Macaca mulatta: one gene and its partners. The protein of the gene in region 2 interacts with the protein of the main gene of each other region in a pairwise test. Links are inferred from orthologs where the notes say so. Each region holds a gene or a part of one and is shown on either strand. Other genes may lie near its edges.

The links.
Region 1: the proteins of LNX1 (region 2) and KCTD17 interact in a two-hybrid assay, tested with the Homo sapiens proteins (2 studies listed by BioGRID and IntAct). The link is inferred for Macaca mulatta from reciprocal best matches to the Homo sapiens genes LNX1 and KCTD17.
Region 3: the proteins of LNX1 (region 2) and HSBP1 interact in binary tests that used the Homo sapiens proteins (3 or more experiments, as listed by UniProt). The link is inferred for Macaca mulatta from reciprocal best matches to the Homo sapiens genes LNX1 and HSBP1.

What each region holds. Positions count from the first base shown.
Region 1 is NC_133415.1:14,498,619-14,502,366, forward strand, and holds the start of KCTD17 (BTB/POZ domain-containing protein KCTD17), read right to left. Parts: upstream 2,735-3,748; 5' UTR 2,731-2,734; coding exon 2,521-2,730; intron 1,372-2,520; coding exon 1,263-1,371; intron 1-1,262. UniProt on the Homo sapiens protein: Substrate-adapter for CUL3-RING ubiquitin ligase complexes which mediates the ubiquitination and subsequent proteasomal degradation of TCHP, a protein involved in ciliogenesis down-regulation.
Region 2 is NC_133410.1:79,996,679-80,000,326, reverse strand, and holds part of LNX1 (E3 ubiquitin-protein ligase LNX), read right to left. Parts: intron 3,207-3,648; coding exon 2,965-3,206; intron 2,457-2,964; coding exon 2,304-2,456; intron 1-2,303.
Region 3 is NC_133425.1:79,175,259-79,178,939, reverse strand, and holds the start of HSBP1 (heat shock factor-binding protein 1), read right to left. Parts: upstream 2,928-3,681; 5' UTR 2,842-2,927; coding exon 2,797-2,841; intron 2,239-2,796; coding exon 2,172-2,238; intron 1,604-2,171; coding exon 1,485-1,603; 3' UTR 1,483-1,484; exon of another isoform or gene 1,309-1,482; intron 213-1,308; exon of another isoform or gene 1-212. UniProt on the Homo sapiens protein: Negative regulator of the heat shock response. Negatively affects HSF1 DNA-binding activity. May have a role in the suppression of the activation of the stress response during the aging process.

The DNA of each region.
Region 1 (3,748 bases), on a different chromosome or scaffold from region 2:
CCCCGGACAGGCCTGCGTGATCCCCTAGCCCCCGGATAGCCCTGTCTGATCCTCTAGTCCCGGACAGGCCTGTCTGCAGGTGTGGGAATAGCAGGGCTTTGAGAACGCAGGGCGTGTAAACAGGTGCTGGCTGTGACGCAGCTTGGGTGTTTACTTCCTTCCCGGCGGGGCCTGCTCCTGAGCCTAGGCCACTCCCATGGTATCTGTGCTCCCACAGGGATTAACAGGGAAGCTGTGGGGTTCTGCAGGGCCAGGTACCCACAGTGGACTCTGGTGTTGCGGCCCTGACCTGCTAGAGAGTTGCTGGGCCTCCAGACCACTGTGTCCCATAGGGCTCAGGGAGGGCAGACCATGGCCCAGAGCAGGAAGGCATGCACAGATGCAGGTGCTGTCTGTGCACAGGATTCATGACATCTCCCTCCAGGAGGCAGATCACCGCCCCCATTTAACAGATACCAGTGGAGACGCAGCGAGGAGAAGTGACATGTTCAAGCTGGTCTGGCTGGATCAGCTGACCCAGAGCCACACCCTGTGTCCCAAAGAAGAGTTAACTTGGCATTGACTCTAGTCCTTGCCCCTGGCTGGGGCTCTGCTAACAGGTCGTTCTTCCAGACACGGCTTCCCCACTGTTTGTTAGGCCCAGATATGGGCATATCCAGGGCCCCTGCCACCTAGGCCTGGGGATAACCAAAGCCCCACTGGGAAGCAGACTCCCCCCTCCCCTGCCTCCACCCACAACCAGCACTGTGCCGCACAGGCTGCCAGACTTAGTGAACAGTCACCCGCTCCACCCACTTACAAGCCCTCACCAGGCAGAATTGGAGATACTGGATCAGCCAGAGAAAGAGAGAGAGAGCGCTCTCCCCATGCCTGTCAACACCAAATTCCTGTCACCCCAGCCTCCGGATGTGACGGTCCACATCTGGCTTCCTAGGAGGCCAGAGAGAAAGGGCATCACAGCCCACCGCAGAGGCCACAGGGCATTGCTGACTTCCTCTATCCCCTGCGCGTGTGTCTTTGTCACCTCCCTGACAGCACCCTGGGAAAGCTTGAGCCCGTCCGCTTGGCAGAGCCCCAGGCTGGGCACAGGCAGATGCTTGGGAATCAGACTCGTCCGGATGGGAAGAGGCAGGAAACAACGAAGCAGGCAGACGGCCATCCTGGTTGTCCAAATGGCTTGGGGCCTCCACAGAGGGCCCTGGCAGGCTGCAGAGGGCCGGGCTAGGATGTGGGCCCCAGGCCAGTCCCCTGAACCAACTCACCCTCCTCAGCCATGTCCTTGTCCAGCACCAGCTTGCCATGCCGGAGGAAGTTCAGGATGGGCCCGAAGTAGGTGGGGTCACGGTCAATGAGGTAGGCCCCGGTCTCATCCTATGGAGGTGAGGGATGCTCCGTGAGCGAAGAGTGAGGCCTCTCCCAGGCCAACCCCACACATGCACAGGGAGGGAAGCGAGTCCAGGGAGAGCTCTTCCCTGGATGGAGCAGGCACAAAGGAGCAAAAAGGCACTGGGGTCAGGTGGACCTGAGTTCAAACCCTGCTTCTGACTTTTCCTGAATGTGTGACCTTAGGCTAATGATTTGGCCTCTTTGAGCCTCACTCCTCTCCTCATCATCAGGGGTCGCTGTGAGCATCTGGTGACAGGAGGTCTGAGTGGCAACTGGGCCAGCACAGGGCTCAGAGAATGTCCCTCTTAGAAGCTGTCCCCTGATGCCAGCCCCACTGTCGCCCCCAGGTCCCCAGGCTTTCAGGGAATGTTTACAAGTTTCCAAAGAAGCCACTATCTCACTGGACATTCAGGCAGGCAGGGAGGCAGAGTGGGCTTCCATGCGACTCTACAGAGAGATGGGAGACATTGAGAGGCGAGGCGACTTGCCAAAGGCCACAGCATCGGAAGGTCACGGATGGGGGACAGGAGACCTTAGAGGTCATCTTCAGACCAGCCCTTCGTGTTACAGATGAGGAAGGAGGCTGAGCGCAGTGCAGGGAAGGGTCCGACCCAAGGTCGCAGCAGGCAGCGTGCAGCAGAGTCAGGGTGGGTGCTCAGAAACAGTGCCCGCTGGGCCAGCGCTCCTTCTAGATTCAGCCCGCTCAAAAGGCGCCCCAGGGCTCCTCCATCCAGCTAGCTCCCTGCACCCCTCCGCCACCCACATCCCAAAGGGCAGGAGAAGTAGCCTCGTCGACTCCTTCCCCAGAGCAGGAGTCCCCTTTGGGAGGGAGGAAAGGCCCCAGGTATCTCCCTGTCCACTGCCCCAAAGGAGAAGGTGAGACCCCGATCCAGGGCGGCTGGAGAGCTTCTAATGGCCGCGACCTGCGGTGTCCCGTTGCCACGGCAATGGGCACATCCCTCACTACCAGACCCACCTCCCCCTTCCCTCCTCCTGCCGCTTCTTCCCGCCTCCAGTTCCTCGGAAATGAACGCAGCCGGGTCCCCAGCCTGGCGGGCGAGCCAGGCCCGACAGCCCTGCGTCGGGCCAGCAGAGGACCCACCGCCCGCTCGCCGCCCACCCCGGGGGCCTCACCCGGTCCGACTGCAGCTCTTCCCCCTGGCACAGGCGGCTGAGGAAGGACTTCTGCTCGCGGCACAACGTCTGCCGGGTGGTCAGGAACACCGTGCCCCCGACGTTGAGCCGCACCCACTTGCCCCAGCCGCCTGCGGCGCGGCCGCCCGCCCCCGCCGGCGGCGCTCCCTCCCCGGCCTCCATCCTCATCGCCGGCCGCGGCGTCTGCATCCTCCTCCCGGGCGCGGGGGGCGGGAGGGAATCACGCGCGGGGCAGGCCGGGAGCTGTAGTCCGCGCCTCCTGGCTCCGCGTGGGCCGCGGGGAGGGTCCCGCCCCGCGCTGCTCCCGCCCCGCGCTGCTCCCGCCCCGCGCTGCTCCCTCCTCGCGCAGCTCCCGCCCCCGGTCCCGCCCCGCTTCGCCCTTCCCTGCAGGCCCGCAGTCTGGGCTAGTGAAGCTAAATCACTGTGTATGGGGAAGGTCGAACTCCCGAACTCTGGGAAAAGAATGAGTGCTTCCCCAAATCGCAGTCTTCCCATTGGTCCGAGCGTTTTTGTTTTTCCTTTGTGCCATCTGCGTCATCCAACTGCTGATAAGGGAAGAAACTTCCCCGACGAGGAATCCCCATAGCATTGACCCGCATGTGTTTCGTCATATTTTTTCATTTGCCCGTTGTGTGTATCGGGGTGGGGGCGGGGTGGGTGGGAGTGGGTTCTTTCCTTCATCTAAGTTCTTGGAGAACGACATAGCTGGACCTGAGGTTGGCTGAGCACCTGTATGCCAGACACTTTGCGTAAGTGTGTTATTCATTTAAGCTCTCAGCAGCCCTGTGAGTCTGGTATTTTGGGATATACCCATTTTACAGATGAAGCCACAGAAGCTAAGTGACCGCTCTACTCACATAGCTGGTGAGTGAGTACCCGCCAAGGCCTCTTTCCTGCTCCCCGACCATGGAATGTCAGGGATCCTTGGGAAGGACTTCTAAGGAGGAAGAGTAGAGCAGGCCCTGGATCCCAGTCAGGAGAACTGAGTTTCCATTCTGGCTTTTGGCTGTTCTCAGTTTTTCCAAGTCCTCCCCAAGCAGGAGGAGGGATTAGTTCTGCGGGTGGCTTTCTGAGTTATTTCCCAGTTAACTTGGAGGGGGACTGTCATTCTGTGGACCTCAGGATGGGGAAAGGGACCCCACCATGTGGTCTGGGACCAGGGAGGGACAGAGGCTGACAAGGAAGCTGTTTCCTTAGCTTCCTCTCC
Region 2 (3,648 bases):
ACCTAAATGTGACACAGAGACATGAAGTGAGCACATGCTTTCGGAAAAATGGAGCCAACAGACTTGTTCGCTATAGGGTGACCACAAGCTTTCAATTTGTAAAAATAAAAATGAGGTATGCTTTTATTTTATTTTAGTCTTGAATAAACCCCCTGATGCCAGGAACTACATTTTATATTCTTTATATAAAATGACAGCACCTAGGCCGGTGCCTTACATATAATAATCTCTTTTATAAATGTTTTTGTAATAAATATGCAAATATATCTTTTTCAAGATAACTTTTTTTTTTTTTTTGAGATGGAGTCACCCAGGCTGGAGTGCAGTGACACAATCTCAGCTCACTGCAGCCTCAGCCTCCCAAGTAGCTGGAATTACAGGTGCCCATCACCACGCCCTGGCTAATTTTTGTATTTTTAATAGAGATGGGGTTTCACTATGTTGTCCAGGCTGGTCTCAAACTCCCACCCTCAGGTGATATGGCTGCCTCAGCCTCCCAAAGTGCTGGTATTACAGGAGTAAGCCACCACGCCTGGCCCAAGTACTAGAGAACTTTACATGGAGTGGAATTGAGGAGTCTTTAATAAGAGGAAGAGACTGGTGGAAAGGAAGTTCTAATCTTTTCATTTAGTCATTGCACAGACATTTAGTGGACACTTATGTGCCAGACACTGTACTAGGCCTTAAAACAAGGACTCAGAAAAATAATAATAAACCCTACACTTTGAGGTACAGTTACATGAAATATGATAATCACTGCTACAGGTGCTTCAAAAACACCTAAAAAGAGGGCTGAAGGAGTCAGTGAGGTTTCCAGGAGGAGGCAAAGGCTTACAATAAACCTGAAAGAAGGAATGTCAATGCCAGCTGAAAGGAGAGTGGGAATGCAGGCTGGACAATAGAAGGGAGGCGAGAGAAAGACATACAGCATTTACAGGACTGTAATCAGCTGAGAGCTCTTAGAGCATGCAGCATGTATGTACAGGGTGAGAGGCAATCATGAATAAGTATACAAGAAAAGGTCTGATAAGGCTGCTCATGAATTTTGAGGGCATAATACATACAGTGGTTTAGGCTCTGCCTCCCAACTCCCAAGAGTAGAGGGCAGTATAACCCAGGAGCTAAGAGAGTAGGCTCTGGAATGAGAGGACCTTAGTTAAAATCTTGGTTCTGCCATTTTCTAGCCGGGTGACTGGACTAATTACCTAATCCCTCTGGGTCTCCGTTTTCCCATCTGTAAAATGGGAATGAGAGTCCTATCCCCTTAACATTATTGTCACAGCTAAATGACTGAAAACACTATGTGCATACAGAAAGAGCTCAATTTTTAAAAAATGTTATTATTACTAAAGTTCTAACATAAAAAGCAAAGATAGTAGGACAGTATTTCCTCAGCTCCATTTATACTGGAGAAAACATATGGGATCTAAGACTCAACAGCTTGCTTTGCATGAATTCTACAGCCATGTTACCTGGATTCAAAGTTTAGCAAGGTAATTTGGAACAACCTAAGGAGCCTCTCTGTGCCACAGTTTCCTCATCTATAAAACAGAAATAGTAGTAGCACCAGGTGCGGTGGCTCATGCCTGTAATCCCAGCACTTCGAGAGGCCGAGGTGGGTGGATCGCCTGAGGTCAGGAGTTCAAGACCAGCCTGACCAACATGCAGAAACTCCGTTTCTACTAAAAAATACAAAAAAATAGCTGGCTGTTTTGGCAGGTGCTTGTAATCCCACCTATTTGGGAGGCTGAAGCAGGAGAATCGCTTGACCCCAGGAGGCAGAGGTTGCACCGTTGCACTCCAGCCTGGGCGATAAGAGTAAGACTCTGTCTCGAAACACACACAAACACACACACACACACATACACACACATACACATGGAGTATGGGGTTGTTGTGAGGCTTAAATGACAAAATGCATGTAAAACACTCAGCACCACACCTCACATGTAGTTGAAAGAGTAAGGAGAGCAAATATATATATTGCATTTATTGTATGTGCCAGTCATTGTTTTAAATGTTTTTCACTCTTTAACTATAATTCTTCTTCTTCAAATGCATAATGGCACTAGCACCTGAAGGTAAGGGTTTCAACACTTTTTCTTCAATCTATGTAAAAAGATGATAATACTTTCTGCCTTTAGCTACTTATGTGAGAAGCAGGCTAATCAAAGTAAAAAACATTGTATACCCTCGGGAAGAGAGGGGTCACAGAAGGTGGATGGTGATCAGATTGCATCATCCCTGAAGTCCCCCTGGAAGCCTAGCCCATGTCCATCCTGCCTTGTGGGGAGGTCATTTACCTTCAGGGGCAGTGGTGTTTTCAGAATTTTCCCTGCCCTGGTCAGCGTGGTTGGCAACCGCACTCCCGCTCTTTGTCCTTCGAAGAACACTCAAAGCTCTATTTATTTTTTTAAAAGATCTGCTTCTAATAGTGGATCTCTCAAAGGGCCGTGCTGAGGAAAAGCAACAAGAGGAACAGTAGTTATGATTTAATAGAAATCATCATTTATGTACATATCTGATAAAATATATATAATAAGACATTAACAGTGACTACCTCTAGGTGGTAGGATTGTAGAATTTGCTTACCTGTATTTTCTAAGTTTTCTACAGTGAAATATGTATGACGTGCTCTGCTTTTCTTTTCTGTTTCTGGGCTGAACTGAATACAATAGCACTTTTCTTGAACAGTATGGCTGAAAAATTACTGACACTGCAGGAGTGATGAATCATTAGGTCTAGTTTCAGCCCCTTTCACCAAGTCAGATTACACACAGTTTAATGATCGGAGGTACTTGTGGTTTCACTTCACTTTGGAGAATTGGACATTGGGTTCCTGCCAAAACTGCCAGAATGATTTCCCCTTAAAAAACATTTCTAGAACTTTCCACAGTAAGTATTCCACAGAGAGCAATCCCAAGCCAAGGAACCCAATCCTGGACAACCACCCATTTGACTCACCCCTAGTTCGGTTGCTCCGTCCAGAGTCCACTGGGCTGACTGCTGGCTGCCCGTCTTCCGCCGAGGACACGTAGGCAGGGTTGTCTAGGCCAGGCTCGTCTGTCATTAAGGAGATGGTGGCAGCTGCAGAAACCTCTGGGGAGGGAGCCATGGCTGTGAGGCTTGCACAGCCATCTGGACAGCCATCTTGTGAGCGCCTCTTCCTGTCTTTGGTCAGGCCGTAGTGGGAGGCACCTTTACAGCTGTAACAGAACCAGTGGGGAGGTGAAGAAGAGCATTGGCTCTGCTGCCATTCCTCAGTCAGACCTCTTCAAATACAATTGAAGAATGTATAATAGGCTTGTTGAACTTGGAATCTGATTTGCCTTCCCCTATATTCTCTCTTCCCTTTTCACATGTTGGTACTCAATATACATTTGCCAACCAAGTGAATTAATAATTTGAGATGTTTTAAAAGATGCCCACTGCATTCTCTTAAAGCAATCTCTACATTGGCTCCTAGAATGCAAATTTATTCAGGTTGCCATGGTGTCTACATGACCAGGCTTTGAGGCTGGCAATGTTCAACTGTTTGGTAATTCCTGCTTGCTGGTGTTTATTTTGACCATGAAAGCCCTTAGTCACACTGTCACTCATTTCTTTTGGATTTTGTTCCCACAGCACTGAACGTAAATATAAAGCTCC
Region 3 (3,681 bases), on a different chromosome or scaffold from region 2:
GAAAATAGGAAACTAGGCATCTTTTACTGTATATTCTGCTTGGTACACTACCTATCTAAAAATACTCAGGATTTTGATTTATTTTTTTATTTTTTTTTTGAGACAGAGTCTTGCTCTATCACCCAGGCTGGAGTGCAGTAGCATGATCATGGCTCACTGCAAACTCTGCCTCCTGGGTTCAAAGGATTCTCCTGTCTCAGCCTGCCGAGTAGCTGGGATTACAGGCGTGCACCACCACGCCCATTTTTGTAGAGACAGGGTTTCACCATGTTGGCCAGGCTGGTCTCGAGCTCCTCACATCAAGTGATCTGCGCGCCTTTGCCTCCCAAAGTGCTGGGATTACAGGCATGAGCCACCACGTGCCAGCAACCGTTTTTTTTTTTGAGACGAATCTCACTCTGTCGCCCAGGCTGGAGTGCAGTGGCGCGATCTCAACTGCAACCTCTGCCTCCCTGGGTAACATTCATTTTTATAGAGAATTAAAACGTTATAAATGAAACATGAGAAAAGGGAGTTTAAAACTTATTTTTCACATATACAGAGGAAAAGGACTGTGCACTCAGTGCTGAGTGATAGTGTACATTTACCTATCTTGCTATTGGGTAGTTTTAATGGGCTTTCCTCTGACATCTGAAACTATTCAGTGGAAATTTAAATGAACTCCAGAGTAAAAGCTTAATGTGGCCACAATCTAGTTTACCAATGTCAAGTTACCAAGAAAGTCTCCAGAATTTAAGCCATTTAAGAAGGTGGTAATGTGGGCGACTTATCAGCGATCCCCTCCACCGCCCCCCGCCTCCCAAGAAAAGCAATGGAAAATCTTCCAGTGACAGGCTTTATAGGCCAACAAAAACCCCTTTATTAGCTGGAATGATAAAAACTCAGTGGTTATCTAATGTTAGCCAGTTGTCTTAACTAACAGTGACAGAAGTCTAATTAATAAAACCTGGGAAAATAAATTCAGTGTAAAGAATGAGTTTGGCATGAAAAATTCCAAAACATGAAGTCCACAGCGGGTAAAGAATACAGGGATGTTTGCTGGGATCATGGCTGGGAACTGATCTACAGAATGTCTGACTACATCAAAATTATATTTACAGGTTCTATTCTTTTAAGGGAAAAAAAAAAAAAAAAAAAGGCCGGGCACGGTGGCTCACACCTGTAATCCCAGTACTTCCAGAGGCTGAGGTGGGCGGATCACTTGAGGTCAGAATTCGAGACCAGCCTGACCAACATGGAGAAACCCCATCTCTACTAAGAATACAAAATTAGCTGGGCGTCGTGGCACAAGCCTGTAATCCCAGCTACTCGGGAGGCTGAGGCAGGAGAATCCCTTGAACCCAGGAGACAAAGGTTGTGGTGAGCCGAGATTGTGCCATTGCACTCCAGCCTGGGCAACAAGAGCAAAACTCCGTGTTAAAAAAAAAAAAAAAAAAAGAAAAGAAAAAAAGAAACGAAAAAAAAAATTGCCCCCTTCCTCACCTTCAACTCTTTTGTGTGGCAGGTATCTTGTTTTCACCTTCCAGTTCCTCCACCCCAGCCTGTGTCATGAGGTCTGCGATGTTCTTCTCCAGATCATCAATGCGACTACTCATATCATCAAGTGGTGAAGTTAAAGACAACGCGTGCCAACATCTCCTCATTGAGCCCTTTCCTTCCGTCCCTGTGGACTACGGCCTTAAACACAACGATTTTAGGGAAACCGGTCTTCCAATTTCCTTTAGACACTGTTACAGGCTGGTGGGTAAGAGTATAGGCCTCTGGGGCATGGCTACTCAGCATCGGTTTCCGGCCCTGACCCTTACTAGTGATGGAACCCCTAAACCTCAATTTATGCATTTGCTAAAGATGGTAACACTACAACCCACTCATAAGGTCATGCTGAGTATCAAAAGAAAGACACACACAAAAGCGCTTAGTTCACAGTCCATGGTCAACCACACCAGCTATTAGGATTGGTAGATGTACGCTCCTTGAGCCAGGGATCTGTCTAGCTCAGCTGTACCCCGAGCTCTCGGCGCAGTCCTTCTTGGAAACACAGTACAATCCAAGCTCAAATTCTGTAAGTGACTGGCTGAAGCTGGCCTGAAAACTACTCATTTATCCCCACCGCTGCCCGGCAAAGAGGCTCCAAAGGCCCACAGGAGGCCCACTACAGATAAAAAGGATATTTCTCCCAATGATCTGGTCAGACATGGTCTGAAATTTATCTTGCATCTGCTGCAGGAGTGTCTGCACCTAAGAAAAACCGAAACAAACAAACACGGTCCACACTGATCCTGAGACACCTTCCTGGGATCAGGACGTGAGCTCTGATCTCGGGTTCCAGCCCCATTTCTGCCTCTGGGCAGCTGTGCCGCCTTCAGCAAGGATCTTCCTTCTCGGGGCTTCCGTTTTCCCACCTGTCTAATTAGACTGGTGGGCTGGGGAGGCCGCTGCGACTCAAAGTTCAGGGTCTTTAGGCTGTTTCTGCCGGGCTGAGGCACCCAGGGGTGTGTAAGGAGTCGAAGGGCGGGGAGGGTGTCAGAGCGAGGCAGGAGGGACCCGGGGGGCGTTCGCGACAGGTGAATGGGGTTACCGGAGGGGGTCGGGCTTAGGAGCGCTCGCGGGTAGACGGGTCCGCACCGAGCGCCCAGGGGGTCAAGGTGGCCGGGAGCCTCGGCCAGAGACGCTTCCAGAAACCGGGCCTCGGCAGACGCCAAGCGCGGGTGCGGTGGGCGCGCCTCTGTCCAGCAGGGCCTGGCCCGGCGCCGCCCGAGAAGGCCGCGGCCTCGGGCCCTCACAGCCGTCCCTTACCACCGAGGTGAGGTCCTGCACGGTCTTGGGGTCAGTCTCGGCCATCTCCCCGACGCCCAGCTTGGCGGTTATGTCTCAGACCGTAACCTACACTTCCGTTTGTCGGCTCAGACGCCCCCGCCCGCTGCTTCTCGCGACGAGACTGGCTGCTCGCGGGACCGCGGGGCATTATGGGAGTAGTAGTTTCTCCCGCACCGGAAGGGCCTCGAGGCCGAGCGCTTCCGTTCCAAGGAGCGGCCCCACCCCACGCTCCCCGCCCTCTTTTGCATAGCCCCTCCCCTCCCCAGCGTGCCGTTGGTGGGGTGGGAAGTGAGACCAACTCAGAAATGGAGCAATAGAGGCAGGGAGTGGCCTTGGCCCCCATTCCAGGCTGTAGTCAGTCGAAAGACGGCTCTGGGTTTCTTTGGCCTGTCAGGACGAACTTACTGAACTTTTGTCCTTCAACAAGACCCACTATACCCTTGTAACTGCCCCCAAGTCAAGGAACATGAGCCCCCCGGAAGCCCCATGGCCCCTGTCCTGTCCTGTCCTGTCCTGTCATCTCCACCCTGAGGGTGGCCAGCGTCCGGAGTTTAACCCTGCAGGTTCATTGTGCCCGTCAGGTTCATATGAGGGGATTCAGACAGGAAGCTGTCCATCATGTCTGGCTTCTTGCACTCCACGCGATGCCTACTGTTGAGTGGGGAAGGCTTCCGGCATCAGGGTTAGACTGTGGGTTTGGGTGTTGAAGGAGGTGGGCACTGCTGAGGTGGAACCTCTAGTTCCAACCCCACAGATGGTCTTTAGGATTGGGTCTCAGGGCAAGGGGATAGGAGAGTCCTTGACTGCGGGCCTGGCAAGGAGATGTGTGAAAGTTCTGGAAACTTTCACACATCTCATTTAAGG